Linked DNA regions of Oryctolagus cuniculus. The protein of the gene in region 6 interacts with the protein of the main gene of each other region in a pairwise test. Links are inferred from orthologs where the notes say so. Each region holds a gene or a part of one and is shown on either strand. Other genes may lie near its edges. The genes, in order: retrotransposon Gag-like protein 8C, TMCO6, HSD17B12, TRIM23, RASSF5, UBQLN1 and HK2.

Evidence for each region.
Region 1: the proteins of UBQLN1 (region 6) and retrotransposon Gag-like protein 8C interact in binary tests that used the Homo sapiens proteins (3 or more experiments, as listed by UniProt). The link is inferred for Oryctolagus cuniculus from reciprocal best matches to the Homo sapiens genes UBQLN1 and RTL8C.
Region 2: the proteins of UBQLN1 (region 6) and TMCO6 interact in binary tests that used the Homo sapiens proteins (3 or more experiments, as listed by UniProt). The two-hybrid records come from large-scale screens. The link is inferred for Oryctolagus cuniculus from reciprocal best matches to the Homo sapiens genes UBQLN1 and TMCO6.
Region 3: the proteins of UBQLN1 (region 6) and HSD17B12 interact in binary tests that used the Homo sapiens proteins (3 or more experiments, as listed by UniProt). The link is inferred for Oryctolagus cuniculus from reciprocal best matches to the Homo sapiens genes UBQLN1 and HSD17B12.
Region 4: the proteins of UBQLN1 (region 6) and TRIM23 interact in binary tests that used the Homo sapiens proteins (3 or more experiments, as listed by UniProt). The link is inferred for Oryctolagus cuniculus from reciprocal best matches to the Homo sapiens genes UBQLN1 and TRIM23.
Region 5: the proteins of UBQLN1 (region 6) and RASSF5 interact in a two-hybrid assay, tested with the Homo sapiens proteins (3 studies listed by BioGRID and IntAct). The link is inferred for Oryctolagus cuniculus from reciprocal best matches to the Homo sapiens genes UBQLN1 and RASSF5.
Region 7: the proteins of UBQLN1 (region 6) and HK2 interact in binary tests that used the Homo sapiens proteins (3 or more experiments, as listed by UniProt). The two-hybrid records come from large-scale screens. The link is inferred for Oryctolagus cuniculus from reciprocal best matches to the Homo sapiens genes UBQLN1 and HK2.

What each region holds. Positions count from the first base shown.
Region 1 is NC_091453.1:112,807,297-112,810,457, reverse strand, and holds retrotransposon Gag-like protein 8C, read left to right. Parts: upstream 1-1,406; 5' UTR 1,407-1,493; coding exon 1,494-1,835; 3' UTR 1,836-2,661; downstream 2,662-3,161.
Region 2 is NC_091437.1:28,268,506-28,272,619, reverse strand, and holds the start of TMCO6 (transmembrane and coiled-coil domain-containing protein 6), read right to left. Parts: upstream 2,801-4,114; 5' UTR 2,715-2,800; coding exon 2,630-2,714; intron 2,504-2,629; coding exon 2,391-2,503; intron 1,433-2,390; coding exon 1,317-1,432; intron 1,213-1,316; coding exon 1,029-1,212; intron 819-1,028; coding exon 714-818; intron 552-713; coding exon 466-551; intron 257-465; coding exon 140-256; intron 1-139.
Region 3 is NC_091432.1:21,810,879-21,814,378, reverse strand, and holds part of HSD17B12 (very-long-chain 3-oxoacyl-CoA reductase), read left to right. Parts: intron 1-108; coding exon 109-190; intron 191-2,385; coding exon 2,386-2,451; intron 2,452-3,500. UniProt on the Homo sapiens protein: Catalyzes the second of the four reactions of the long-chain fatty acids elongation cycle. This endoplasmic reticulum-bound enzymatic process, allows the addition of two carbons to the chain of long- and very long-chain fatty acids/VLCFAs per cycle.
Region 4 is NC_091445.1:86,572,744-86,577,038, reverse strand, and holds the start of TRIM23 (E3 ubiquitin-protein ligase TRIM23), read left to right. Parts: upstream 1-1,495; 5' UTR 1,496-1,708; coding exon 1,709-1,789; exon of another isoform or gene 1,790-2,221; coding exon of another isoform or gene 2,222-2,290; intron 2,291-4,295. Other genes in the region: TRAPPC13 (trafficking protein particle complex subunit 13), read right to left, coding at 963-1,008.
Region 5 is NC_091444.1:21,700,463-21,704,580, reverse strand, and holds the start of RASSF5 (ras association domain-containing protein 5), read right to left. Parts: upstream 2,801-4,118; 5' UTR 2,746-2,800; coding exon 2,289-2,745; intron 1-2,288. UniProt on the Homo sapiens protein: Potential tumor suppressor. Seems to be involved in lymphocyte adhesion by linking RAP1A activation upon T-cell receptor or chemokine stimulation to integrin activation.
Region 6 is NC_091432.1:134,606,580-134,610,079, forward strand, and holds part of UBQLN1 (ubiquilin-1), read right to left. Parts: intron 2,996-3,500; coding exon 2,912-2,995; intron 1,740-2,911; coding exon 1,624-1,739; intron 1,105-1,623; coding exon 936-1,104; intron 1-935. UniProt on the Homo sapiens protein: Plays an important role in the regulation of different protein degradation mechanisms and pathways including ubiquitin-proteasome system (UPS), autophagy and endoplasmic reticulum-associated protein degradation (ERAD) pathway.
Region 7 is NC_091433.1:128,134,813-128,138,938, forward strand, and holds the start of HK2 (hexokinase-2), read right to left. Parts: upstream 2,801-4,126; 5' UTR 2,302-2,800; coding exon 2,239-2,301; intron 1-2,238. UniProt on the Homo sapiens protein: Catalyzes the phosphorylation of hexose, such as D-glucose and D-fructose, to hexose 6-phosphate (D-glucose 6-phosphate and D-fructose 6-phosphate, respectively).

The DNA.
Region 1 (3,161 bases), on a different chromosome or scaffold from region 6:
AATATTCTAGTTTCCCCAGTTTAACTGTGATGTTAGCTGTACGGGATTATTTTTATAGATGCCTTTAATCAGATTTAGGAGTTCCCTTCTACTCCTGGTTGAATGACAGTTCTTTTTTGAATCATGTGACACAGAAATCCTTCTTGTAGGTATTTACCCTAGAGAAGTGAAAATATGCTCATGCAAATATTTTTACATGATTGTTTATAGCTGATTCATTTGTAATTGCCAAAACATGGAAACATGCAGAATGCCCTTCAAAAGGCGGCTAAATTACCAACTGTGGCATGGCCATACTGTAGCAAACGGACTCCAAGTGGCCTCCATCCCATTATGTCGCTCCCTAATTCGCGGAGGAACGACACCAGACCCTGCGCTGTTCTTTTGTCTGCTCGGCCCTTCCCGGGTTTGCTGCCCTTCCAGGTTAGCTGCCGTCCCCCCCCCCCCCCCCCCGCCTCCGCAGAGGGGCGGCACCCCCGCCGCTTTCCCCACTTCCGCGGAGGAGCAGCACACCGCTGGCCAGCTCTCTCAGGGGTTGCTCAGATGTTCCTCGGATGTTGCCCTCTTAATGCCTAAGTGGTTAATGGGGAATGCAATTGGCTTCTAAACAATACAATATGAAAAAGGTGGTGATCTGTTATTGTAATGATTATGTTACATTATACATGACTGCATTTTGCAAGCAGAATCACTGTATCTCTCCTGCAAGCCTTAGAGCTAGCAGCAATGTCGTGAATTGCCTATGGATCAGCAAAATAGGTAACAATTATGGTTAGCATTTATAATAAATTGAGATTTCTTAACATTTAACCTGCCTTATATTAATTGCTCATGGTGCTTTATTATTTTAATATTCTGTCCTGGACGATATTTGCTCACATTGGGGGCCCTCCTGTTGATACTGCAAAACCACCATATCTGCTGCCAGGGAGCCATTTCTTCTCTGGCTGAAAGATACATGAAGAAGCAGTATCCCAGAACTGCATTCTAGGCATCCGGAGCCAAGGGTCTGCCTAGAAATACCCAAGAAAAAGATGAGGGGGGGGACGTGGAGGAGGGCAGCAAGAGGACTCATCAACTTTCAGAACTTGAAATCTGCTGTCGCAGATTAGCGAACTCGCCTTCAACACTCAATCCCAAATCTCCTGGGCTCATCCCCCATCCCCGCTCCGCCTCTGCAGTCCCCCTGGGAAAACTCAGGCCCATCCTTCAATTACGACCCCGCCTCCTTCAGGGTATTTGGCCCGCCCCCTCAACACCCACCCACCCCCGTTCCCACTTTCCCTGCCCTAGCGCGAGACGCATCTGCGGACTAGTGACCATTCAGATTTGCAAGCAAAAGCTACTGAAGTGAATAAGCCCCGCCCTGGCCCTGCCCACCCTGGGCCTAGACCCGCCTCCGTGGAAACGCACTTCCGGGGACGCCTCCTTGCTTGCTGACCTCTGCACAGCCCTGCAGAGCCAGCAAAGCCCAGCAGAGCAAGCAAGGCGAAATGGACGGTCGGGTGCAGCTGATAAAGGCCCTGCTGGCCCTGCCGATCCGGCCGGCGACACGTCGCTGGAGGAACCCGATCCCCTTTCCCGAGACGTTTGACGGCGACACCGACCGGCTGCCGGAGTTCATCGTGCAGACGGGCTCCTACATGTTCGTGGACGAGAAGACGTTCTCCAGCGACGCGCTCAAGGTGACGTTCCTCATCACCCGCCTCACGGGGCCCGCCCTGCAGTGGGTGATCCCCTACATCAAGAAGGACAGTCCCCTCCTCAGTGATTACCGGGGCTTTCTGGCCGAGATGAAGCGCGTCTTTGGCTGGGAGGAGGACGAGGACTTCTAGGCCGCCGGAGCCTCGGGCCCGGGGCCGGCTGCCCTGGGGAGGGTGGGCTGCCCGCCGGCCGCCGCCAGGGTCGCCGCGGGCGGCCCCCGCCGCGCTCGCGCCCGAGTCGAGTCCCGCCGCCCCCCTGCTCCCCGAGTCGCCGCGGCGTCCCCTCGCCCCCGCCCGCCCGCCCGCGTCGTGCTTGCCTTTGTTCCAGGAATAGCGCTCCAGGCTGGCGCTGCTGCCTCTGGGCCTGGCTCTGGACAGCGCCGCCGCCCTGCCCGCTGCCGCCGGCCCGGCCTGTGCCCTGCACCGGGGGCCGCCGTCCGGCCCTCGGGCTGCAGGCTGGGCCCCCGCCGCGCGGCCGACGACCAACCACGCACCGCCGGCCGCCCCCCGCCAGCCCGCATCGCTCTGCCCACGCACCTGCGCTGCCGCCGCCGCCGCCGCCGCCGCCCCCGGCCTCCCGCCGACAGACTGCTCTTCTGAGCCACCTGGACTCCCCTCCGAGGGGTCTGGGCTGGCCGCGGCCCTCGGACCCCGACTCCGACAGCCGGCTGCCCGGCGGGGCCAGCCGGCCTCCCACCATGAGTGAGGCCGCGCCCCCTCCTCCCAGAGACACCTTGAGGGTCTGGGCGCCGAATCGCGCCTGTCATGTCCTCCCGTGGACATGACAGTAGTTCTCCCCGCCCCCCCGAGTCCCGGTTCTTCCGAACGTGCAGCTGTCTCTCTGATGTGTGCCTTGTGTCCCACACTATGACCCTGTGGTCTTCGCGGCTCTTTTACACTACCTGTACAGAAGTCTTTCCATTCTTTCAATAAATGTCAGACCCTGTCCAATAAGAAACTGCGTTCACTGAGTGTGCCACCTTTCCTTGTGTGATCTTGCCAAATCGGTCCATATTTTCTTCAAAACCACATTTGAGACTGCATGGCATAGTTGTAATTCTGCCATCCCATACTGGGGTTCTGGTTGGAACCCCACCTTCTCTTGCCATCCAGCTTCCTGTTCATGTGCTTGGGAACGCAAGAAAAAATGGCCCAAGTGCTTGGGCCTCGCCACCTGTGTGGGAGACTGGGTAGAGTTCCTGGCTCTTGGCTTTCTCCTGGCCCAGCCATTTGAGAAGTGGACCAGCAGATGAAAGTTCTCTCTTTCCCTCTGTCTGCTTTTCTATCACTCTTCCCTTCAAATAAATAAAATAATAAAGAAGTCTTAAAACAAATCCATATGCGCTGACATTCGATGGTTCATATGGCCTTTACATCGAGTCCTCTGGTTGTCCTGGGAATGGAGACCTCACTGGTGACCATTCAATCCCAGCTGCTGAACTCTCTAAACCTGTTAGA
Region 2 (4,114 bases), on a different chromosome or scaffold from region 6:
TCTTGTGGGCAAAAGAGAGCAGCACATGGATATGAAAACAGACTACAGCAATATCTGAAACTGAAGTTCAAAGACCAAGGTGTCACAGAAGGGAGCCCTGGGAAAGGTCTCGAGCATTCTCCCAGTTGCCCTGTGTTACCTGCATATGAGGTAGTGAAGGCACCAGGAAAACTCCACAGCGACCCCAAGGTTCAGCTTTGGACCAGGTTGCAACAACTGCAGCATGTGCTGGGGGAGAGTGGAACCCAGGATAGAGCTGCCAGCAGAAGCAGAGCTATGAGCAGGACCCACAAAGATGCCAAACCCTAACAGCAAGTGGGAAAGTTCCCATACCCAAAGCCCTTGCTAGCCAGACACAAGGACCTGAAACAGGCAGCAACTCTGGGAGTCAGACTTCATCAGACATCCAGGGGCTACTGGGTGGGCCACTCTGGGCTACACATCTGGAGACATAACTTTACTTACGGAATGATCCTCTCTGGAGCTTCCTTAGCCTGCAGAAGCTGCGACAAGGCGTATCCAAGGGCTTCCAGCACAGCCACATGTGGGGACTGGAAGCAGACAGAGTAGGGATCTGACTCTGGAAGCTGGATCATAAGGTCTCCCGAAACTCTCAGCCCCAGGGCAAAGGCAGAGGCTGCAACTACCTAACCACAGCAAGCGGGAAGTGGAGAGGAGAGGAGTAAAAGTCGTCAAGGGAGAAAGGCACTCACCTGGATGCAGGTGGCCAAGGCCGGAACGATGCCCTGTGGCAGGAGTTGCCTTCTCACAGCCTCACTTTCCACGATCAGGTTACCCAGCGTATACAGACACAGCTCCTGAGAGGAGGGACAGAGGGTGCAGCAGCCCTCTCTTTGAGGCTTACGAGAAGGTGAGGAGACAGTAGCTGGATGCCCAGCTATGGGAATCGGGAGGAACAGGTTTTCTTCTGCACCCCAGCCCCCGCCACATGCCAACTCAAACTGGATCCAAAAGCCTAAAATGTTTAAATCTAAGCCAAGAACAAAGTAGGAGGGGACAGGGCTTACTATGAAGTCTGAGCTGTGACCGGAGAGGTAGGTGAGGAGGTAGGAAGTGGCCGGCAGGCAGGCCTCGGCCACCGCGGACTGCTCCGAGTGAGAGAGCTCATGCAGGCACCGAGCCGCCTCAAGCTGCAACAGGGCCCGGCTGCCGGTCAGCAGCCCGACTAGGGTCCGCATGCTGCCCTCCAGCCTGTGTGGGTGAGCACCAGAGCCCTGCTCAGCCTGGGGTCCATCCCTGCCACCTTTCCTGTCCCCTCAGAGCCCCAGCCATCCACTCACACCACCCACACGGACCGAATAAAGATTTGCTGTGTCTCAAGGTGCTGCAAGCCTCGACGGAGGCTGACCAGAGCCTTCTCTCTCTCCTTCTCCTCTGTCCCCCGCTGGGCTAGCCACAGGAACTGCTGCACCTGGAGAGCAGGGCAGGGAGAGAATTCAAGTCCTGGGTCGCTCTCTGCCCGCTTCACCTGCACGTCCTCCAGTGTCACACCATCCCGGAAGCTGTCCTTGACACTAACACAGCTGCTAGGTGCCAATTCACGGAGCGAGCAGTCAGGGAGAGGATCAGAACTGGGATCCAACACCAGCCCTGCCATTTACTCCACCAGGGACCTGCACCTCAGTTTTCTCACCTGAAAAGCAGGAATAACAACACCTACCCTGCATTCTTAGTGGGTTACTTCAAAGAAAACATTTGTACCTCTCAACCTGGCAAAACCTACGCCTCAGCCGATCCCAACGTGTGGTGCTGCTGGTTTGTAAACTACACATGCAAATGCAGGCAACACACACAAGGCATGCCCAGTGCTCACTGAATGAACAGACCCTTTCGTTTACTCAGTCAGTAAGCACTAACTATCTGCCGTATTCCAGATACTGTGCAGGTACCTGGGTTTTCAACGATGACAAATAAGGAGTTTAGATGTGGCAAGTGCAAAGGCCCTGAGGCAGGAAAGCGGTCGGTTTACTGAAAGGGGCTGGGATGAGTGTGGCAGAGGTTAGAACAAGCTGGGCTTTGCGGGGCACACCCAGGAATTTGGTCTCTATTTGTTTTTAAAAGACGTATGGGGGGCGGCAGCCATCCATGTGAGGTGACCTTTTAGGAGGCTGCTGTGGTATCCACAAAGAGCGGTGGCAGCTGTGACCGCGAGGCCACCTCCAGACTTCAGACTTCTAATGGCTAGGACCTGAATTGATCTGAGCCTGAGGGACAAGGCGGTAGGATAAGTCACAGGCTCGGTCCTAACCCACTGGACGGATGCAGGCGTCAGGCGGCTCGCGTTCTGGACTGGGGCAGACCTCAGGCACCGGCAGGAGTCTGGCGTCAGGGGGCGTGGACTGCACCGCGCGCCCGCCCCGCAGCCTCACCTCGGCTTCCCCGAGGACGGCGGCCGCACAGCCCTCTCCGGCTTCCTCTGGGACGTCGTCTCTCAGCAGCCTCTTGCTGATCAGCTGCTGCTCCCTCCGCGCCTTCCGCAGCTCTGGCGGCAAAAGAACGGGCTGCGCGTGGGAGGGACGCCCAGGCCCCAGAGCCCGCTGCTCTGAGCCGGGAGTCCCCTCACCCTATCCGACCGCCACATCCCCTGTGCTCCTTCGCCCGCCCGCACCTGCCTCCCGCTCCCGCCGGCGGCAACGTAATTCCTCCACCCCGCAGACCACCGGCCTGAGACGGCCCTGCCGCCGCCTCCACATGGCGAAGCTGCGAGATATTTGCAGGGAACGCCAAGGCTGGGACTCCGCCTGGCGGCTTAGGAAATAGCAGCAACTGCGCAGCCGCAGAGTCGAGCGGAGAGGCGGGGCGAGCACGAGGGGGCGGGGCGGATCGCGACGGGGGCGGGGCTACGTTGGGGGCGGGGCTAGGGCCGGAGTCTGAGAGATCCTGCGGGAGCCCGCATGGGAGCAGGAGTCTCAATTTCCAGCCCTACGCTTCGGATTTCTCTCCTTACCGGTTCTGGGAATGAAAGTAACTCATCCGCGAACCCGGCCGCCGCAGGCAGGCATTGTCGCCGTCCACTCAGCAAACACAACCTCCCCACCCCCAACACGCGCTTCGGGACGAGCCGCGATGCCATTTCGCGAATAACGCGGCTCCCCGCCGGCGCCCGGCGTTAGCAGCTGACGCGCGCTGCGTCCTTGAATGTCTACCCCCATTTTGCGAGTGAGAAAAATGAGAAAAGCATCATTATTTATGTGCAGCTTGCTAAGTTGTGGACGAGGGTCAGCGAGCAGACACGGTACCGAGGCTGGAGTTGCATCAGCCGCTGATGTGGTGCGGTCGCTCCCCTACAAAGTTCTGGGAAAGGGAAAGCTCCGCAAGCGGCCTGTCACCGAGAAGGCTAGGTTCTTTCTGCCTGGCAATACTGTCAACCCTGCGAAAGCCAGTCCCAGGCATGTACTGTCTTCTGCAGTGCTGGCTGCCTCTGTCCAGAAGCCGTGTGAGTTTCTCTCTGCAAAAGTCCTATTGTCTGCGGACTGCATTTCTGGATCCATGTTTGCCTCCACGGCCTGGAGCACGTCAGGAGCTGCGGCTTAGTCACGTTTGCTTCCCAGGGCTTCACCCCAACCCTGACCCTTCATATATATTTGTTGAATTGAGGTGTGAATCCGGGATCTTTGCAGAAGCAGCATCTCCCCTAGCGGCTTGGACCTGCCAGCCCAGAGTGCCTCCCCCAGAGTGATACGCTTTGGCGAGGAGCCGCGGTGACCTCAGTCCACTGAATGTGGAGGCTCTGAGAAGAACACTCAAGGCTCCCCTTAACAGATGCAGCTTTACTCACAGACAAGTGCTACTAATATCTCCATTTTACACGGAGGAAGCCCAGAAACTTGCCCAAGCCTCGCAATGTCAGAGGCAGAGCTGGAATTCCACATCTGCCTGTTGACTTCCGGGCCATGGTCATATCTTGGTCCTCCAGGGTGCCACAGTAACCTGGGCTGGCCTCAGGGCATAGCTCAGGATACCAGGACATGCCCAACAGGACACCCAGGGGGCAGTGTGTTCTGAGGCCTGCTTGTTTGGCTTAGAACCAGATGTGCAGCTCCTCCTCCATTAAAGGGGAAATGGAATTTAAGAGTTCCGTGTAGCTCTTTCC
Region 3 (3,500 bases), about 110 Mb from region 6:
AAAAATCTGTGTTACTCTGCTTCAAATAATTATATATCTCAGTCTGCAGTTCTCAGACCGTTGTGTATATGATTACACTGTGATGACTTGGTACATTTTCCTTTTTAGATCTAAAGGTGCAATTCTGAACATCTCCTCTGCCAGTGGCACGTTCCCAGTTCCACTGCTGACCATCTACTCTGCAACCAAGGTGAACAGCGTTTTAGGGGAGGAGTGGGTGTAAGAGTGAGCAATACTTTCTAAGCTGAGAGATTAAAGTTTCCTGAAGGTCAAATCTTGGCAGTTTTCCAATGGAATGCAACAAAACGGAAACTACCCAATGCAAGGTTCAGGAGAGCCAGAGCTAGTGTGACACCCGGGTATGAGATCCACACAGGCCTTTGTTCCTTCCGGTAGTTTACTGATTTTAAAGGTGACACTTGTCCTTTCATGGAGAGCTGGCCTAGACCAGTGATTAGAACATGATGTTAATGAGTAGAAGATTCTGAATTTGGTAGATGAATGAGTCAACTGCACACAATTTGGAAGAAGTCAACACATACATGTACATACTAGGCACAGGATAGCGTTGAGTGAGAGAATGACTGTTTTGTCCCATTATCCAGAATTTACTGGTAACTCCTTGTTACTTCTGGGATGTGAGAATTTTCCAGAGTTCTCTGTAAGAGCCATAATTTCACACAGCATTACCGTTCACCTCTTCACATTACTTCTAGGAAAATAATTTCGAGTGCATTTCCTGCTGCCTGCAGGTCAATAGCCTCATCTTCAGATACATTGTTGAGGCAAGGACTCCATCTCTAAAGGGAAAATGACTGCTCAGACCTTAACATTGAACAAGCTTTTCAGGAAAAGTGAGCTTAATATATTATACAGTAAGAACTTGTAATATGTCATCAAAAGACAGGAACAAAACATTGGCCTTCTTTTTCACTTGATAAAATTCATATCATCATGGCTGTCTTTTGGGAAAGCTTGGCACCACCCTGGAATCCCTGCCATTAACTTGATTTCAGTAACCCTGGAGCGTAATGCCAGGTTTCCTGAAGGGATTGGTGACCCCAATTTCTTTCCTGTCTCCACGAACAGAGAATTACTACTAATTGGGACTCTTGCAGAGTCTTTTTTTAAAAGATTTATTTATTTATTTATTTATTTATTTATTTATTTATTTATTTTTGACAGGCAGAGTGGACAGTGAGAGAGAGAGACAGAGAGAAAGGTCTTCCTTTGCTGTTGGTTCACCCTCCAATGGCTGCCACGGCCGGCGTACCGCGCTGATCTGATGGCAGGAACCAGGTACTTCTCCTGGTCTCCCATGGGGTGCAGGGCCCAAGCACTTGGGCCATCCTCCACTGCACTCCCTGGCCACAGCAGAGAGCTGGCCTGGAAGAGGGGCAACCGGGACAGAATCCGGCGCCCCGACCGGGACTAGAACCCGGTGTGCCGGCGCCACTAGGCGGAGGATTAGCCTAGTGAGCCACGGCGCTGGCTATTTATTTGTAAGGCAGAGTTACAGAGAGGCAGAGGGAAAGAGAGAGAGGTCTTCCATGTACTGATTCACTCCCTAGATTGCCACAATGGCCAGAGTTGGGCGGATCTGAAGCCAGGAGCCTGGAGCTTCTGGGTCTCCCTTGCTGGTGCAAGGGCCAAAGGACTTTGGCCATCTTCTTCTTCTTTCCCAGGCCTTAGCAGAGAGCTGGTTCAGAAGTAAAGCAGCTGGGACTTGAACCAGCTCCCATTTGGGATGCCAGCACTGCAGGTGACGGCTTTACCCATTAGGCCACAGCACTGGCCTCCAGAGTCATTATTGATACTTTGCATTTCAAGCTCAAGATTAAGTCCATATTTTCCCCCAAAAAATGGCTTTTTACAAATGGATTTCAGGTTGTACCATGATCAGAAGAGGTGCTGTCACATTCAGCTCTGCTCTTGTTGGCTCTTTCCATCCTAGAGCTGCAAGAGGATGCTTGCTCTTTTCTTTGTAGCAACAGCAAAGTCCCCACAGAACTGAGTTAGACAGAATTCATATTTTGTTTCCATTTGAGTGGCAAGTAGAAAGAAGAAATGCATGCTTTGATTTATAATATAAAAATATTTTTCTTGGAAAATAATTTTCTGGGGGAAAATAAGGATAAGAAGAGCTTTTTCCAATTAAAATTTGTTCTGCGTAGTATTTGGTAAGATAATACTTCATTTAGTGGCAAGCAAAAACAACTTGAGCTGTTGGTGTTTTTTTAAGGTGTAGTCTGCTTTTGAAATGAAAAAGAATGATTAGAAATGATAGTGTTAACTGGTTAGTTTGTTATTTTTTGTTTCTATGGCTACAAGTCAGGCACATTGATGTAATCTGTGTGTTTTCTTCTCCCTCCCACTGCCTCCCAGGCTTTTGTAGATTTCTTCTCTCAGTGCCTCCATGAGGAATACAGGAGCAAGGGCATCTTTGTGCAGGTGAGTGCAGTTTGCTTCTGTTAAGTATCCCTGTTTTTGTGTGGTTTCCACAGCAACTGTTGCTGTCTTGGCAACAAAAGAAAATCACACTCCTGAGTTAGTGGATGTGACGTTAGCATACTGTTAGACATGGTTTCTCTCTCTCTCTCTCTCTCTCTCTCTCTCTCTCTCTCTCAAGATTTATTTATTTGAAAGTCACAGTTACAGAGAGCGAAGGAAAGACAGAGGGAGAGATCTTCCATCCTATGGTTCACTCCCCAAATGGCTACAACGGCTGGGCCAGGCCGAAGCCAAGAGCCAGGAGCTTCTTCCAGGTCTCCCATATGGGTGGCAGGAGCCCACAGACTTGGGCCATCTTCTGCTGCTTTTCCCAGGCTGTCAGCAGGGAGCTGAATCGGAAGTGGAGCAGCAAGTATTTGAACTGGCTCCCATATGGTTTGCCAGCACTATAGGCAGTGGCTTAACTTGCTGTACGACAGCATGGGCCCCAGTTTCTATTTCATTTACATATATAAGTCTGGATTTTTAAAAACTGCCCCCTAGAATTTTTTTAAGCAGGGATCCCTAAAGTAGAACTAAATGGAGTGTAAGCAGTTGAATCCTAATTATTATAAGTTCTTACTACTTTATGTTGAGATAATTAGACTATTCATAGTCTCTTCTTTTTAAAAATTGTGGAGAAATACATATAGCATTTTCATCATTTTTAATTGTGCAGTGCACTGGCATGAAGCACATTCACACTGTTGTGTAGTCATTAATGTCATCCATCTGTAGAACATGTTCCATTTTCCAGATTAGAAACTCTATGCATTAAACACTACCTCTTCATTTGCCCCTCCCCTCAGGACTGGGTAGTTTCTACCTCTATAAATTTGGCTACTCTTAGTTCCTCATATGAATGGAATTGTACAGTATTTGACCTTTTGTAACTGTCTTCACTTAGTATAATGTCTTCAAAGTTCATCCCTGGTGATAAGTCAGAATTCCCTTCCTTTTAAAGTGCTGATTAATATTCCGTTGCATGTGTGGATTGCATTTGGTTTGTT
Region 4 (4,295 bases), on a different chromosome or scaffold from region 6:
TGCCGTGAAGTTTTGGGCAAGTCTCCAACATACCAGTACCCAACAGTGACCCCTTGGTATTCCCTAAGAAGCGCCTCCGGCTCACCCTGGGACACCACAATCCCAGCACGCTCAGGTCCCTTATGTAAAATGGTGTCGTATTTGCATACAACATAAGAACACATTCCCCTACACTTTAAATCACGTCTGGATAACTTACAATACGAGAGGGACAGAGGAAGAGCGCCTCCATCTGCTACTTTATTCCCCAAATGTCCCTAACAGGTAGGGCTGGACCAGAGCTGAGGCCAGGACGCCGGACTTCGCCGCGTCTCCCACGTGGGCGGCAGGTACTTTGCAGTACACTGTGGTTATACCGGTTCAGAAAATACTGATAGGAGGAAAAGCTTGCACACCTTCAGCACAGACATAATCTGACTCAAATATTTGCGATCTGCGGTTAAGATTAGGAACCCAATGCGGTGACGGTCAGCCGTACATTTTAACAAATCTACGTTACGCGTGGCAGGGCTATGTATTGCTAAATCCTTCGCACAGTTGCTACGCAGTGCTAACACCCCAGATAAACCTGAAACCTGGTAACTTCCCAGTGCCCACTAAGAGACGAGAGACGGAAGGAAAAGCCATTTCGGATGTTTGCTTTAATGCACCCCGGTTCGCAGAGGTCTCCCCAGTAGGGGCGCGGCCTCGGCTCTGCATCCAAACATCTGGTGACTGCAGCAGCACAGGTCAGGGAGAACGACCAGGTGTCTGTTTCGTTCCAGAAAGCAGCTCTGAAAGCGAAACGCGAAGAGGCCAAGTCGCCTCCTCCTGCTCGCGCCGGACGCAGCGCGGGGCGGCGGGCACCGAGTGTTTTGAGGCCTGGCCCCTGTCACAGAGGTCGCGTCTGTGTGGCAACGGCCTTCGGGAAACTGCGAGAGAAGGGAATAAGACAGAACAACGGTACCTCGGCACACATTTACCTTTCAGCGCCAGCAGGTGCTCCTGTTTGGGGGGATTCACTTCCATTTTGACCGGCACGTCTGACTCCAGGCCTACGGGGGCTGAAGAGGTTCAACTTGGCCCGGAAGGGAAAAAAAGCGTACGTCGGGCAGAACAGGCGTCAAACGTCCTCCCAACAGCTTCTTTGTACCTTAAATTCTCCTTTCACTGCGTCCTTTACGGACCCAACGGCTTCTTTTCACCAAAGCCATCCTTTGGCTCTTGGAGATCTGCACAGAAAATACGGCGTTTTCCGTCTACGATCACACATTGCGACTGGAAGCAACCACTGTAACGATACGCGGCCTCTTAGAGATTAAAAAAAGGGCGAGAACGTGGCATGCCGGGATTTGTAGTGCAAGCAAAAGTCGCGTTGCATGAAGGGAGATGTAGTATCCGCCTTGGCTAGTTTGCCATTAGAGAGCCGAACTCATAACCGGGCCGGGAATTTCACCTTTAAACTTTAATTATGTGTTATCCATTTTTTTCCTTTGACTTTTTTCTTTCAGCAGTTGCAGGCTTCTTAGGAACAAAAACAACACGAGCAGGACTGTGCCTCCAACCCAGCCGAGGCTGACGGGAGGCGGAGCCGCTGACGGGAGGCGGGGCCGCGTCGTACTGGGCCTGTGCGCCAGCGGCGTGCGCGGAGGCCTCTGGGTAGGTGGCTCGACCCCGCCTCCCAGGTGAAGGCTCCGAGGGCTGCTCCTGCGCCGCTGCTCTGCCCGGGATGGCTGCTCTGGTGGTAAACAAGCCTGGAGCTGGGCCGGACAGTGGCCGGCAAGGCAGCCGGGGGACGGCCGTGGTGAAGGTGAGGGACTCTGCGGACTGCGCTCCCCGCTTCGGCCGTCCTCCGGCTCATCCGGGAGACTTGGGCGGCATCCCTGGGGCCCAGGCGCGGCCGCGGCGTCCCTGTGTGCCTGGCAGGCAGGTCTTGGCGTCCCTCCGTCCGCGACCTGGATCCCCGGGCCCGAAGTTGCCGGGTCTAATCCTGCAGATGCCAGCATGCACAGCGGGGACGTTTGTGAGAGGGAGCTGTGGGCCTGTGGGAGTGGCCCGGACCGCTCTTTCTGTAGCCCCTCTATCTTAGTTGAGCCTAGGAGGCGTTAACTCGCTTGGTTTTGTAGAATTGAGCCATTATAGCCTCCAGGTACTGTGTTAGGGGTTTTAGCTGGTTGGCATCTACTCATGAGGTGGATGCTAGCTCTCGTTTTGCAGGAAGGAAACCCAGGTTTCGGTTAACATGGTGTGCGACTTTAACGCCTGCGGCGTCCACTACGGCGCAGCTTCTGTGATTAGACGTCTGTTACTGGTGAGCTGCGCCTTTCCCGCTTAGCCGTACAGCCTGTCGACATGGTTGAGAAGTCTCCAATGGCAGTACAGTTGAATCTTAACTCTGGGGTGCCTGAATGGCCCTATGCTGGAAGGTTGGGATGCTACCATGTATAATGCTCCAAAAATGCACTTACCGAAAAGTCAGTTGAAACACATGGCACTCATTTTCCCTGTGCTCTGAAAATATCGGAGGATTTGACAGAGAGAACTGATCTGAATGGTTCATGCCAACCTTCGGGATTGTCAATGTTATAAGCAATTGGTAATACTATAAGCAATTGGTAATACTATAAGCAATTAGTAATTCTCGTTCCTGACTGCATGTCAGGGTCACCGAGGCCTTTTGTGGAGGAATGGCGCACTTCTGCGGTTATTAGGTTGGCGTTTCTACACATATTTCAGTCCCAGAGTGACTTTGATGTACAACCAGGGCTGAGAATTGTTGAACTAGATAATATCTGAAGTTCTTTTGACCTTTTGCTTATTAGTAGGCACTTATGTTTTCTCACCTAATGTTGGTTTTATATAACAGCAAGTGACACATTTCTGCCCACAACTTAGTCATTATTATTGCTTGTTGATTCAGCTGACCTTTATGTAGTAATTAAGTTATTCTGAATATATAGAGCAGCATATCTGAGATACAGAGGAGCCCTCATTATTAGGCATGTTGTATGGGTGAGATTTTATTTATTGAATTGTGCTTTTGATAAATAGAGAATACCTGAAGATTATTTGTGAATTGACTTGAAGTTTAATTCCATAATTGGAGTATCGTTTACATTTCTGTTACCTTGTTTGCTTTATAATCTGAAAAAAAGTACCAAAATGTGATGCAGAATTTGTTACAGAATTTGATATATTAGAAGCATTTTTAGCATGTTCATTTTTATTTTAACATGTAAAATATTCTGAACTGTGCAATAAGATAGTCCTTTTTGATGAAAGAAGAAATTCATCAGAAAGTGAAAGTTGACATTTATAATGCTAATGCTTTGTAAAATGCTGTCTTGTTTAGTGACCAAGTTGATAATGGCAGGGTTTTTATTGTTAGGAAAAACAAAATCTGATATTGCAAAATTATTTACATTTTAAAATTAATTGCAAAGTTTCTTTTGTTTCCTAAGCTTTCTTATAGTCCTTTTAAAGTATGATCTGGTTTGTTCAAATTCGATTTACATGTAATAAGTTGAAATTTTCTTGTGAAGTATGAAATTTACCACCCCCCATCTAGGATTTAATTTCTTACACTGTTCTCTTCAATAACTGTTCATAGATACTGAGGAAAGACTATCTACTAAGTTGATACCTGAATAATTTTTGGACCTGTGGTTGGCTTACTAAATGGAATTATGCTAATGGTTTTTGAAAAAAAAAAAAAAACCTATAGTAACAACATGAGCAAGTTACCTTGTTTAGTGATGGGTCAGAAGTATAAGTGTGAATGAACTAAGAAAGTTTTTTTTTTTTTTTTTAAAGATTTACTTTATTTGAAAGACAGAGTTACAGAGAGAGGTAGAGCCAGAGAGAGAGAGAGAGGTCTTCCATCTGCTGGTTCACTCCCCAGATGACCACAATGGCCAGAGCTAAGCTGATCTGAAGCCAGGAGCCAGGAGCCTCTTCCAAGTCTCCCACATGGGTGCAGTGCCCCAAGGACTTGGGCCATCTTCTACTGCTTTCCCAGGCCACAGCAGAGAGCTGGATCAGAAGTGGAGCACCTGGGACTCAACCTGGCACCCATATGGATGCTGATGCTGCGGGCCAGGGCTTTAACCTGCTGCGCCACAGTGCCGACCCCAAGCAAAGTTTTAATTTTATTCTTTTGAGGTTATTGTCAGAAATAAATTTAACATGCAGTATTCAATAATGAGAGCATTTATTAAAATCTTAGATTTATTTTATACTGCCTAATTCTATTGTGAATATCTTTTCTGTATTAAATTTGATGAAGTGGAGCTTTTGTCTTCCTTTTTAAAACGATG
Region 5 (4,118 bases), on a different chromosome or scaffold from region 6:
TCCCCATCTCTTTAAACAAGGGAGCAGAATGTGGGAGTGCCAGGGGCCACACGGAGACGCAGCGGCAAGATTCAAACACAGGGCTCAGGTTCCCGTGTGTACTCGCAATCACTGCGCAATTCAGCCTTGTGAACGTCTTCCTCCTGATCCTGGCTTTTCCAAATGAAAACACACGGATGCCACCATGGAATCAACCTTAAAGAAGACATTCAGTGGACTCGCCCTGCCGGCTCCGCCTGCCAGCCCTCATCCAGTCCCATCCACTCCCAGGTGCACGATTAGTGAGATTACTGATGACAGAGACTCCTCTCTGGATCCCACGGCTGCTTCCTCCCTGGTGTTCATACATGGGGGACCATGGGGACCAGCAAGGGAAGAGACTTTACCAAGCCACACACAAAGAGGTTGGGCCACAGATCTGGGTGCTTCTAATTGAAGAATTTCCTTTCATCATGGCATATAACACATTGGTACACACACACACACCCACTATCACCAAACATAAAATCACAAACTATGTGCCAGGTGCTGCCATTGTGGGGTAGCAGATAAAGCTGCCGCCTGTGACACCAGCATCCCATGCCTGTTCCAATCCCAGCTGCTCCACTTCTGATCCAGCTCCCTGCTAATGGCCGGGGAAAGCAGTGAAGGATGGCCCAAGTGTTTGAGCCCCCCTGCCACCCACATGGGAGGCGCAGCTGAAGCTCCTGACTCCTGGCTTTGGCCTGGCTCAGTGCTGGCTGTTGCAGCCACCTGGGGAGTGAACCAGCAGATGGAAGCTCTCTCCCTGTTTCTCCCTAAGTCTTTCAAAGAAAAAAAAAATACATGGAAAATGCTCCACAACTAATACAGTTCCGGAAAATCTCAAACTGGATGCCAGTGAGGCAGACTTCCGGGATCCCAGTACAAAATGCCGTGACAGTGAGGTCACAGCCTCTGTCCCTGCGTACAGGGCCAGTGGGTAGAGGACCCTTGAGAAGGCAAAGGCTGCCCACATGTCCAAGGCCAGGTTGCATCTGATTCTGCTGTAAGGTCAAAGGCATTTGCGACAGGACAGCAGCCCTTCCACCCACAACACACGGACGGCTGTCTAACTTCTGCTCTTCCTCTTTAATAAGCACCTGGACGGGGAGCCTGGTGGGAGAAAGAGCAGCAGCCTTTTCCCCCTCCAATTTTCCCTTCCACTTGATGCTGGCTTTGAGTCTGATTCGGCCATCCCGGCAGGCAGCTGCAGCGCGGAGCACATCAAACAGCCTCAGCTGTGGACTGCAAGGGGTGGCCAGACAGGGCTTTCCCGACCGGGAAGGAGCTTCGGCCTGGGGGACCGGAGGCCTTGGCAATCCATTGCCAGAGGTGCCTGTTAGGGGCTGTGTCCTTGCCTGAGCTTAATGCTGCAGATAGGCAAAACCTCCCCATCAACACACAACCACACAGCCACCACAGTTGCGGTTGCGGCAACAGCAAACGCAGCAGGTGGGGGTGGACGAGAGGGCCATGTTAAAGGAATACACACACCTAGCCGAGGCGGGGCGGGGGGGTGGGGTGGGGTGTGCTCAGATAATCTACCTGCTGGACTTCTGCGAACTTGGAGGATAGCCTGGCTCAGGCAGCAACCAGAGGTGCCCAGTGGGGGAATTTTAGAGCATGAAGAGGGGGTGGGAGGAGGGGAGCGCAAACATTGCCGGAGAGTGCAAAGGTTGGAGGGGCACAGGTCCAGGGTGACCTCAGGCTCTGCACCTGGCATCCCGAGCCTAACCAGGTCAAACAAGTCATTTTGCCATCAACTCCAATAAGCCAGGGTCAAATGGGCATCTCAGGACCAGCCTCACAAACAACTCTCCAGAACTTGGGACCAACGCGAGAAGGGAACAGAATGACCTTGTGGCTGCGGCCATCAACCAACCTGCGGCTGTGTAAGCAAGCGCGCGCGCGGCGGCAGGGGGGCGGATGCAGGCACCTGGGGCGTGGGCGGGGCGGGGGCGGTGGATGTTCGCACCTGTGTGGTGCGCGCCCACGGGGTTGGGGGAAAATGCACGCACCTGCGTGTGCGCGCGCGTCTGTGCATGGGGGTCGGCGCGCAGGCACGCACCTGTTAGCGGAGAGGTGTTTGTTAAATGCCGCGTTAACCATTCCCAGTCAGGGAATTAAGGAGTGCGCGTTTCCGGGAATTACCTGAAAGTCGGGTCTTCCCCGCGGACAGAGAGGGCAATGCCCCTGTCCCCCTTGCAGTCCCCCGCCCCAGGACTGCGGTCTTCCCGCGCCCCTCCCCGGCCCTGCCTTGCACTTACTAGCGCAACGCAGCGCCTGCCGCAGCACCTCGCGTCCGCATAGGTCACACCAGCCGGGGCCGCCTCGCAGCGCCGATTCCGCGAAGCGGTGGCCCTCGCCTCGCTCCGCAGGGACGCGGGGATCCTGCGGCTGCTCGAAGATGCTCCGCACGTCGCGGGGCCGGGGCGCTCCAGGGCGCCGCCGCAGCCTCTGCTGCAAACCAGGCCGGAGAGGGCGAGCGGGGCGCGAGGCCCGGGACTGGGGCTCTGGGTCCCCCCGCGCAGCCCTGCGGCCGCCGCGCCCCTCGTGCGCCACGGGCGCAGTGGAGAGGGGCGCCGGGACGCAGCGGCGCGAGGAACGGCCGGGGGGCGGCGGCGAAGGCTCGTGGCCACTCAGGCTCTGCAGATAGCGCGGCGGTTCGGGGTCCAAGAGCAGCGGGTAGGGGCGCTGCCCGATGGCCGAGGACGCCATGGCCATGCCGGGCTAGTGGCGGCGGCTGCGCTACTCCCAAGCCAGCCCTGAGAGAAGAGGCGGCCCCAGACGAACGCGCCTTTAAAGGGACCGCAGCCCGCGGGGGCGGAGCAGGGGCGGGGCGATTTCAGAGAGGCAGGAAGGGCGACCCGAGGGGACGGCTGCCGGACGGAGGGCAGGGCTGGCGGCTGGGCGAGTGTGGGGGGCTGCCGGCGGTTGCCGAGGGTCCGCGCATGAGAGCTCTGTAACGAGCAACCCAGAAGGCGCGTTTTTGGAGGCGCCTCTACCTGAGGCCCTGGCTCCCACTCTATCCAGTCGCTTCTCCCGCACCAGACCCACTCCCGACACCACTAGCACCCACTGGGCTCAGGGGCGCACGGCTCGGGCACCGGCTGGGGATGGGGTCCAAGGAGGGCTGCGCCGCCCGAGGGCCAGCCCGCCTCGTTCCCGGCGTCCGCGCCCCACGGGAAGGGCCGCGCTCCTCTACCCTCCCACCCTAGTCGCCGCCCCCTGGGGGATGCCCCTCGGGGATACCCGCTCGCGCCCCGCAGCCGCGCGGAGTCCCGTGACGCGGGGGGACGCGCGCTCAGCCGCCGGCTGGAAGGCGGCGGGCAGGGCGACTTCCCCTCTGGTCGGGTTTCCCCGTCCTCAGATGCCCTGCCCTGCTGGACACTCCTTTTCCCGGAAGGCCCTGGATTGGGAGAACGCTGGGGTGCCCAGGGGTGGGGGAACTTTTCTTTGTGGGGGGGCCCTTCTCTCTCCTCGAGGGCTCGAGTGAGCGCTGTGGGAATCTCGGCCGGAAGCGCCCCGATTTGTACCTGGCACCGACGGCTCGCCGGGTGAAGGAGAGAGAGAGAGAGAGAGAGATCGATCCAGTCCAGAGGGCCTGCTGCCTGGGCTGATGCCCTGCTCTCTCCAGCTTGAGAGATTGAAAGTTTGAACAAAGGACGGGGCACTTTCTTCCTGCAAGGGTGCAGCACCCTTGCCCATGGAGACAGCCCCTTCTCCTGGGAGTGCAGACGGGCACAGCCTGGACTCCTGGATCTTTAATGCCTCCCAGGATCCTGTCAGGGACCACCCATGTCCTGAGAGCCCTCCAGCCCTGTTTGTTCTGACCGTAGATTGGGCTGAAGCTGGGGAGACAGGTAGATGCTCCTGCATACTAGCCGCTTCCTGCTAAAGCACGGGTTCGGATTGGTTGGTTGGTTTAGAACAGGTCACCAGGACACAGCGTTGTCACACAGCGGGTTATCTGCAGCGCCAGTTAGAATCCCAGCTGTGGGGGCAGCGGGTTAAAGCCCTGGTCTGCAGCATCCATATGGGTGCCGGTTTGAGTCCCAGCTGCTCCACTTCCAATCCCGCTCTCAGCTATGGCCTCC
Region 6 (3,500 bases):
CTGGAGCTTCATCTGGGGCTCCCACATGGGTGCAGGGGCCCAAGCACCTGGGCCATCTCCCGCTCTTTCCCAGACCATTAGCAGGGCGCTGGATGGGAAGTGGAGCAGCTGGGCCCTGAAGTGGTGCCCATTGGGATGCTGGTGTCACAGGCAGTGGCTCACCTCACTATGCCACAATGCTGGCCCCCAATGTATTTTTTAAAAGATTTATTTGAAAGGCAGAGTTAGAGAGAGAGATGGAGAGATGGAAGAGATCTCCCATCTGTTGGTTTATTCCCCAAATGGCCTAAACTTCATCCTGGGCTCCAACATGGGAGGCAGGGGCCCACGTATTCGGGTCACCTTTTGCTGCTTTCCCATATTAGCATATTGGATTTGAAGTAGAAAGTAGAGGGGCAGGCACTGTGGCGTAGCAGGTAAAGCCACGGCCTACAGTGCTAGCATCCCATTTGTGTCAGTTTGAGACCCAGCTGCTTCTTTTCCGATCCTGCTCTCTGCTGTGGCCTGGGAAAGCAGTGGAAGATGGCCCCCAAGTCCTTGGGTCTCCGCACCCGCATGGGAGACCCAGAAGAAGCTCCTGGCTCCTGGCTTTGGATTGCCACAGCTCCAACCACTGCGGCCAATTGGGGAGTGAACCAATGATGGAAGACCTTTCTTTTTCCGTCTCTCCTTCTCTCTGTGTAACTCTTTCAAATAAATAAATATTAAAAAAAAAAAAAGATAAAAGAAAGAAATAGAACAGCAGGGACTTGAACAGGCACTCAAATGGGATGCCAGTCTTTCACGCAGACACTAGCCCCTAGTCTCAGTATCTTTTAAATCTGTGCCTCTCATTAGTCTCTATACACTTAAGGACTGTGCTTTCCCCCTTTTTTCTCTTTCTGGAAATTTATGAAATGAAAGAATACTATCCATAAACAGAAAAGAGTTATTACCTGAGGATTTACTCCAGCAAGAGCCTGCAGCATCTGTTGAATAAACTGTTGGTGGCCAGGTTCGGTGGTCCCTGTTGTGGGGCTTGTGTTCTCACTGGCTGTAGTGTTAGATCCATTGGTTCCTGAAGAGCCTCCAGTGTTTCCCAAGGCCCCCAGGCCAGGAGTAAACCTAGAGGAAGAACAAACAGGTCATAAACTAGAGGACAGGAGTCAATCAGTTACGTTTTAACATACTATTAACTGAATTATCTTCTTAATAAACACTTGTAATTCTGAAAACTCTGATTTGGGAACTTGCACTGTGGCGCAGTGTGTTAAGCTGCCACCATATGAGTGCTGGTTCAAGTCCCAGCTGCCCCACTTCCAATACAGCTGCCTGCTAATGGCCTGGGAAAAGCAGAAGATGGCCCAAGTGCTTGGAATCCTGCCACTCATGTGGGAGACTGGGAAGAATCTCCTGGCTCCTGGCTACAGCCTGGCCCTGCCCTGGCTATTGCAGCTATTTGGGGAATGAATCAGCAGAATCTCTCTCTCTTTGGCTCTGCCTTTCAAATAAATACATCTTAAAAAAAAAAAAAAAAAAACTAAAAATAATCACAACCAAAAAAGGCAGAATGATATTAACCCTGAAATTCTCAGAGAAAGTTAACCATTATACACTTTCATAATCTTCCTCAAATAAACTTACCCCGGAATGAGGCCAGGGGCTTCTGTTGCTAATGTCTGTAAACCCTGCTGAATCTGTAACAAGGCCTGCATTGCTCTAGGGTTTGACATTGCTGACAGTGTATCAGGATTCTGCATCTAAAGGAAAAAGAAAATCGAGGGTTACAAGGGAATTAAAATCAGTGAAGGTAAATTCTTATATCTTTACTTGTGTTTTCAGAGAAAATCTAAAACCTCACTCCTGGACACTGGTTATCCATTAGTTTCTTTCCCAAAATAACAAGCATTTCCTCTTTTACAGCAAATCACTACCTGACCTCCCCAAGTCCATCAGCAAAGCCATTCCCATAATGGTGGACACTCTGGAAGCCGCCACTCCTCGCATGCTCCAACAGGAGATTACAAATATTATTTCCAAGAGACACCTCCAACTACACAAGTTATACACATGGTAGTACTGTGAAAGCCACACATTCCTCCTGAGCAAGTGTTACCTGTAACAAGTTTACAACTAATGTACACTCTGAAACAATAGTTCCAAATCTGAAGTTAATACAGATGTCCTGAGTTTAGCCTCACTGCTTCCAAATATACACCACCTGACTGACCAAAAAAGGAAGACTTACACCATTTCCATAGATCAAGGACACTAACTAACCTTGGACAATGGTTCACAGGCCTGGGAATTATCTGCATAATCTATAAAGCCCTAGAGCTACCAGTTTCAAAATACCAAGATCGATGCCTCTTTTATCTTTTTTAAATAATAAAATATCATGGCAATCTCAAGTACTTTTTTAAAAAATAGAATCTTCCTTATTTGACGACACTAACACTTTTACTAACTCCAAATCTGAGGAACTGAGATCTACCCCTTGGAAGGCAGGCATTCTACTAGTTTGAGAAAAATTAAAACATTACAAAGAAACCAAACCTTGCAAAGTAAGACTGGGTAGCTCTTTCCTGTTACTTGAGATTAGTTAAACCATAAAGCGTAACATGAAGGAAGCACGTCAATGTTAGTAAAGAGAAAGGAAATGGTATGGTATTAACAAAGCATTCAAAATCCCAAGTCCTCAAAAGAAAAAATAAAATGGTTCTTCCCTCAGAATTTATGTTTAAGAAAGAGGAGTCAAAGATCAGCAGTGAAATGGGGTTCAGTTAGATCAAGCTGAGTTCTCTACAAACTGACAGGATATCCTATTCCAGTCTCTGTTCTGCCATCAGCCAGAGAAGATCGAGGAAAGTGGTCAGCATCAAAGTTTCAAGCAAATCATTACTGAAGACAGCTGGCATCTTTTCTTACTCACTTGTTGAAGGAAAGTTGGGAGCTGTTGTCTCATTTGTTCTTGAAGCTGAGGATTTCCAGCAAATAGGGGATTATTCAGCATCATCTATGGGGCAAGTGTTCAAACAATTTTAACTGGAAATATCGGAAACAAGTAATGTACCTTGTTTAATATTCTATCTTCCCACAAGTGCCCAAGCTGGCACTTAAAAGGGAGGAAGGTAGAAACTAAATTAAAAAGGAAAAGGGAAAATATTATCCACAAGAGAGATCTCCAGGAAAAAACAAAACCACGACATCTTCTCTCAATGAGAATGGCGATTATGATAATGACATGCAATACCCTACAAATAAAAGTAATCGTATTTTAGACTTTTCCTTGAGCAAAGGTGAATTTTTGCCCTTGAAAGAAAATTGGGAGTGACTGGCTTCACGAGGAAACATGTTCTGCTACACTGACAGGATAAACATAAACATCAATACAGGAAACTTGCTCAGAAACCTCCACACGTAAGAGGCCAGTACAGAGAAAAATTCAGATCTGGAACCACTATATCTATCTGCCTCCTACAAAACAGCTATATTTGGTCCAGAAAAATAATACCACAAAA
Region 7 (4,126 bases), on a different chromosome or scaffold from region 6:
GAAGACACTCTGTGTTTGCTCTTGAGTTCCGAAGCATAAACTGGCAAAAGACAGCAAACCACCTTGACTCTCATCCATGAAACACTGGGAGAAAAGTGTTCCCGATGGGGCTAGTTCTGGGCAGGTGGCCCCAAGCACTTCCGTGCCCTCAGACTGCACAATATGCAAGACGATGTCGTCCCAAGGAGATTTCAGAAGAGTTCACGTCAAGGCCTTCCCAAAGACGAAAAGTAAACTCGACCCTCAATCTCCTCTCCCAATGCCTCCGTCCAGCGGCAGCCCACAAGGATGTTTCCCACATACTCTGTCTTCCCACTTCCTATCTGATTGCAGATAGAATCAAACAGCTCTGCTCACCTGAACCGGTGCCTGCATCCCAGCGCGGGCCACCTGGTGAGTAAAAGGCCCGCCTCAATTCTGCCCCCAGTGGTAACTTAGAGAAAATACACCCTCCCCGCGCGTAAAGGCTGCAAGGTGACGGTAAGTGGCGCGATCAGAAGCCTACAGGAAAGGCATTTTCAGGCGGCTGTGGGTAACGATCACAACCCCACAAAGGGGACAAGACTGCTAGCACCTGCGTTTTACGAAAAGAAATGAGTAGCCCAAGGAGGTCGGGGTCGGCTGGTTAATAAATCACAAGTCAGGGATCGGAACCCATTCCCAGATACCTCGGCTAATTCTGGGACCACGGAGAAGACCCCATTCCAGGACACCCGCGAGGCGGTCTCAACCCACAATTCTAGCAAAGAGTAGGCTTGTAAAAGAACTCAAACGCTCTGGAGCGTCAGTCACACCCGCCCGAGAAGCCCACCCTGGGATTAGCGACCCTCCACTTTGTACTTTAGGACCTGCCAAGAGTCGACAGACTTCCCCTAAGAATTAACTTGGGGAGCGAAGCCCAGGGGGGGCGCCAGCGTCCTGCCATCCCCCAGACTCGCTTCCAGACACACTGAACGAACGCGCGGAGCCACATCCCGGGAGCGAGCTCGAGGGTAACAGCCGTTCACGGACGGGGAAAAGCTCCGCTGTACCCGCCGCCCCCTGCTCCTCCTCCAGTCCGCGACTTGCGCGCCAGGGCTCCGGCATCAGCAGAGTGGGGAGACCAGCAGGTCGTCCTGCACAACCAGAGTGTCTAGACATCTGCATTCCGGTACTGAAATTTCAAGTGTGCAATGGAGCAACGCACGGTCCATTGCCTCACCGCTCTGAAACACACGTCCTCCGCAGCCCATCCCCTCCCTCAAATCCTAGCCAAGCCTCAGGCCAGGAGCCAATCCCTTAATCTGCAATGCAGAGCCTCGATTCACCCCAGAGGGAAAGCGCCCCGGGCACGGCCCCGCACCCCTGGGAGAGGCTCCCCGCCGGGCCCCAGGTTCCTTTCTTATGTAAATGGCCCGGCGCGGGAGAGGGATCGGCTTCGGGAGCTGCTACGAGCGAGGTGGGCACGGCAGGCCCTGGCCCAGGGCAGGAGAAAGCTCGCTTTCGGAAGGGCCGAAATCTTAAGGACTCTGGGAAGGGGGGAGAGTAAGGTTGGTCCCCTCCGAGGAACTTTTTTAAGGGCAAACCCGAAAGTAACATCCAGACCCCGCCCCCACTCGGAGGCGGGCCCGGGGGACACGAGGCCGAGCTGGGGGCGGGCGATGCGAGCCCCTGGCCGAGCCTCAGTTCCGGCCGCCTCAGTTCCGGGGAGGGGGCGCGGCGGGCGGAGTTCCTCCGCTCGCTTTCCTGCTCCTTCCCGGGCAGGTTCCCCGAAGTCCACCTCCGCAGGGCCCCGGGACAACTGGGGACGGGGGCCGCGCGCCTCCTTCCCGCGTATGGAGCCCCACGCGGCCACGGAGCCTCCTCCCCCGGGCACGATTGTTCACCACGTGTTCTCGCCGGAACTCGGCCGCAGAAGGGGGGTCCTACCACGTGGGCGCAGTAGTCCCTGACTACGTGCCGGGTGACCCGCCGCTCTAGAAACAAAAAAAAAAAAAAAAAAAAAAAAGAGGTAGGGGCGGCCGCGCGAGCGCGCGCAGGATGGCCGCGAGCCCCCGTGCCTCGCACGCGCGCGCTCGCCTGCCAGCGCCCGGCGGACGTGGCTGCTCCAGCCCAGGAGTTTCATCAGCAGCCCGGACTTTTTCTGCGAACCTGGCTCTGAATGGAGAGGAAGCGGATCCCGTCAGGGCCAAGGAGGAGGTCCCGGAGACCGCGCAACTTTGTCAGAAGCGAACCGGCCGCTTCGCTCTGCTGACTTACCTTCTGCACCTGATCATGGTTGAGCTCCGTGAAGAAGTAGGCGAGCAGATGCGAGGCAATCATCCTGCCGCGGCCAGACGGCGCCGACTTGGGAAACCGGGGCGCGAGCGCTTGCGGGGGAGGCTGGCGGGCGGTCCGACCGCTTTGTACCTAGGCTCGGCGGCCCGACGGAACGCAGGGAGTCCACTAAGAACGCTAACGGCGATGGCGCGCCTGGCTGGGGGGCCCCGGCTCTCTGGAAACAGGGTTTTCTGGAGTTAAAACTGGTAAAGGCGGCTAAGTCTCACTCCCAGGCAACGTGTCCGGCTGCCCTACGTCAAGGCGCTAACTTCAGCCACAGGGCCCTAGGGCTCAACATGGAAAGAATCGCAGCCCGGCTCCACTGGGACGATCAGACCTCTTAGACAAACACGCGCGATGCTCCCGCCCGCAGATCTTTCTAGCTGAGTGACACGGCGTTGCCCGCGGCGGCCCGGGACTCCTGCTGGAGTTTCGTGCAACAATGTGGCTTATTGAAGGGGGCTGCCGGCTCGCGGGCCGCCCGGCCAGTGACGCGCACGCGTCTATTGGCTGCGCGGAGAGGGTGTGTGCGCCCGCAGGCCGCCCGCCGCCCCGGCACAGCCAATCAGCACGCACGGCCCGCGGGCGCGGCCGCTCAGACACCCGAGCCGGCCTTCTGGGGAGGCGCGCCCGGGGCGCGGGGCGGGGCGGGGCTGGGCGCCCGAGATGGGACGTGTGTTCCGTGGCAGGAGGCTGGGACCGAAAGGCGCATGAGCCACCGCCGCGTCAGGCGCGCCTCTGGGTGGGGGGGCGCGTGATCGCGGACCCGCGATGTGAGACGACTGGAAAGACAGGTCACCGGGCCAGCACACGCCCTTGTACAGAGAGAGGGCGGTCTTCTGGATTCTCGGGACCCTGTGAGAGGCCCCTACCGCGCGCTCACATGTCTGGAGCATCCAGGTTCTCATCCATCGTGGCTCAACCTGCCAAGTGAGCCCTAGTAGCTGGTGCTTATGCTATGCTTGGCATTACCAAAGTCGGCCCACCGCCTGTGCCTTTGGAGACCCCGAGTGGGTGTGGGTGTGGGTGTGTAGAGGGACATGGAGGCTGGCAGGAATGAAACACTGACGGCAGCAGACGTGAGCTTGGGGTGAGAGGATGACAACGCTGGGTCGCGGCGGGCCCCCGCAACGGAGAGAAAATCAGCTGCCTGCCGTACAGAAGAGAGTCCCTCTCCCACAGTGCGGTGCTCTCTGCGGCGTGTACAGATCTTGTCAGACAAGTAGTAAGTGTTCATTGCCTGTCTGTCTTCCCCTCTCAGGGATGCTGGGAACAGTTGGTCACCCGCATCTGGATCCACGGTCCTCACCCAGGCAGAGTCCGGGACGCTCCGCCGTGCTGGTTTCTGGCTAGGCTCCTTAGCCCCTGTTTCTCAGTGGGTAAACGCTGGAGGGTTCCAGGGCTGCCTAATCTAGTTACACTGTCTCCCTGCACCATCCCTCCCGGCCCCATGACTGTTATATCATCTACATGCCGCTGATGACTCACAAGAGTAAATCGACAGCGAGGACCTCTCCTAGAGGTCTGGAGACTTCCTTCTCCAGCTGCCATTTGTCATCACCACCTAAGCGGTGAGCACCTGACGCGTAACATGCCCAAAGTCCCACTGAACTTTCTCTCCACATCTTTTCCTTTCCTGGTTGTCCCAGCAAACGGCAACACCATGCACCCTAAGTCATACTGGGTTCCTATGGCTCCACCCTCACAGCCAGTCAGTCCCTCAGCAAGCAGTCGATTCAACCTGTAAAACAGAGCATGTGTGCGACTTCTCTCCTACCCAAGCCGCCGGTGACTCAGCCAGAGCCAGTGCCTTGTCCTGACTTTGTGC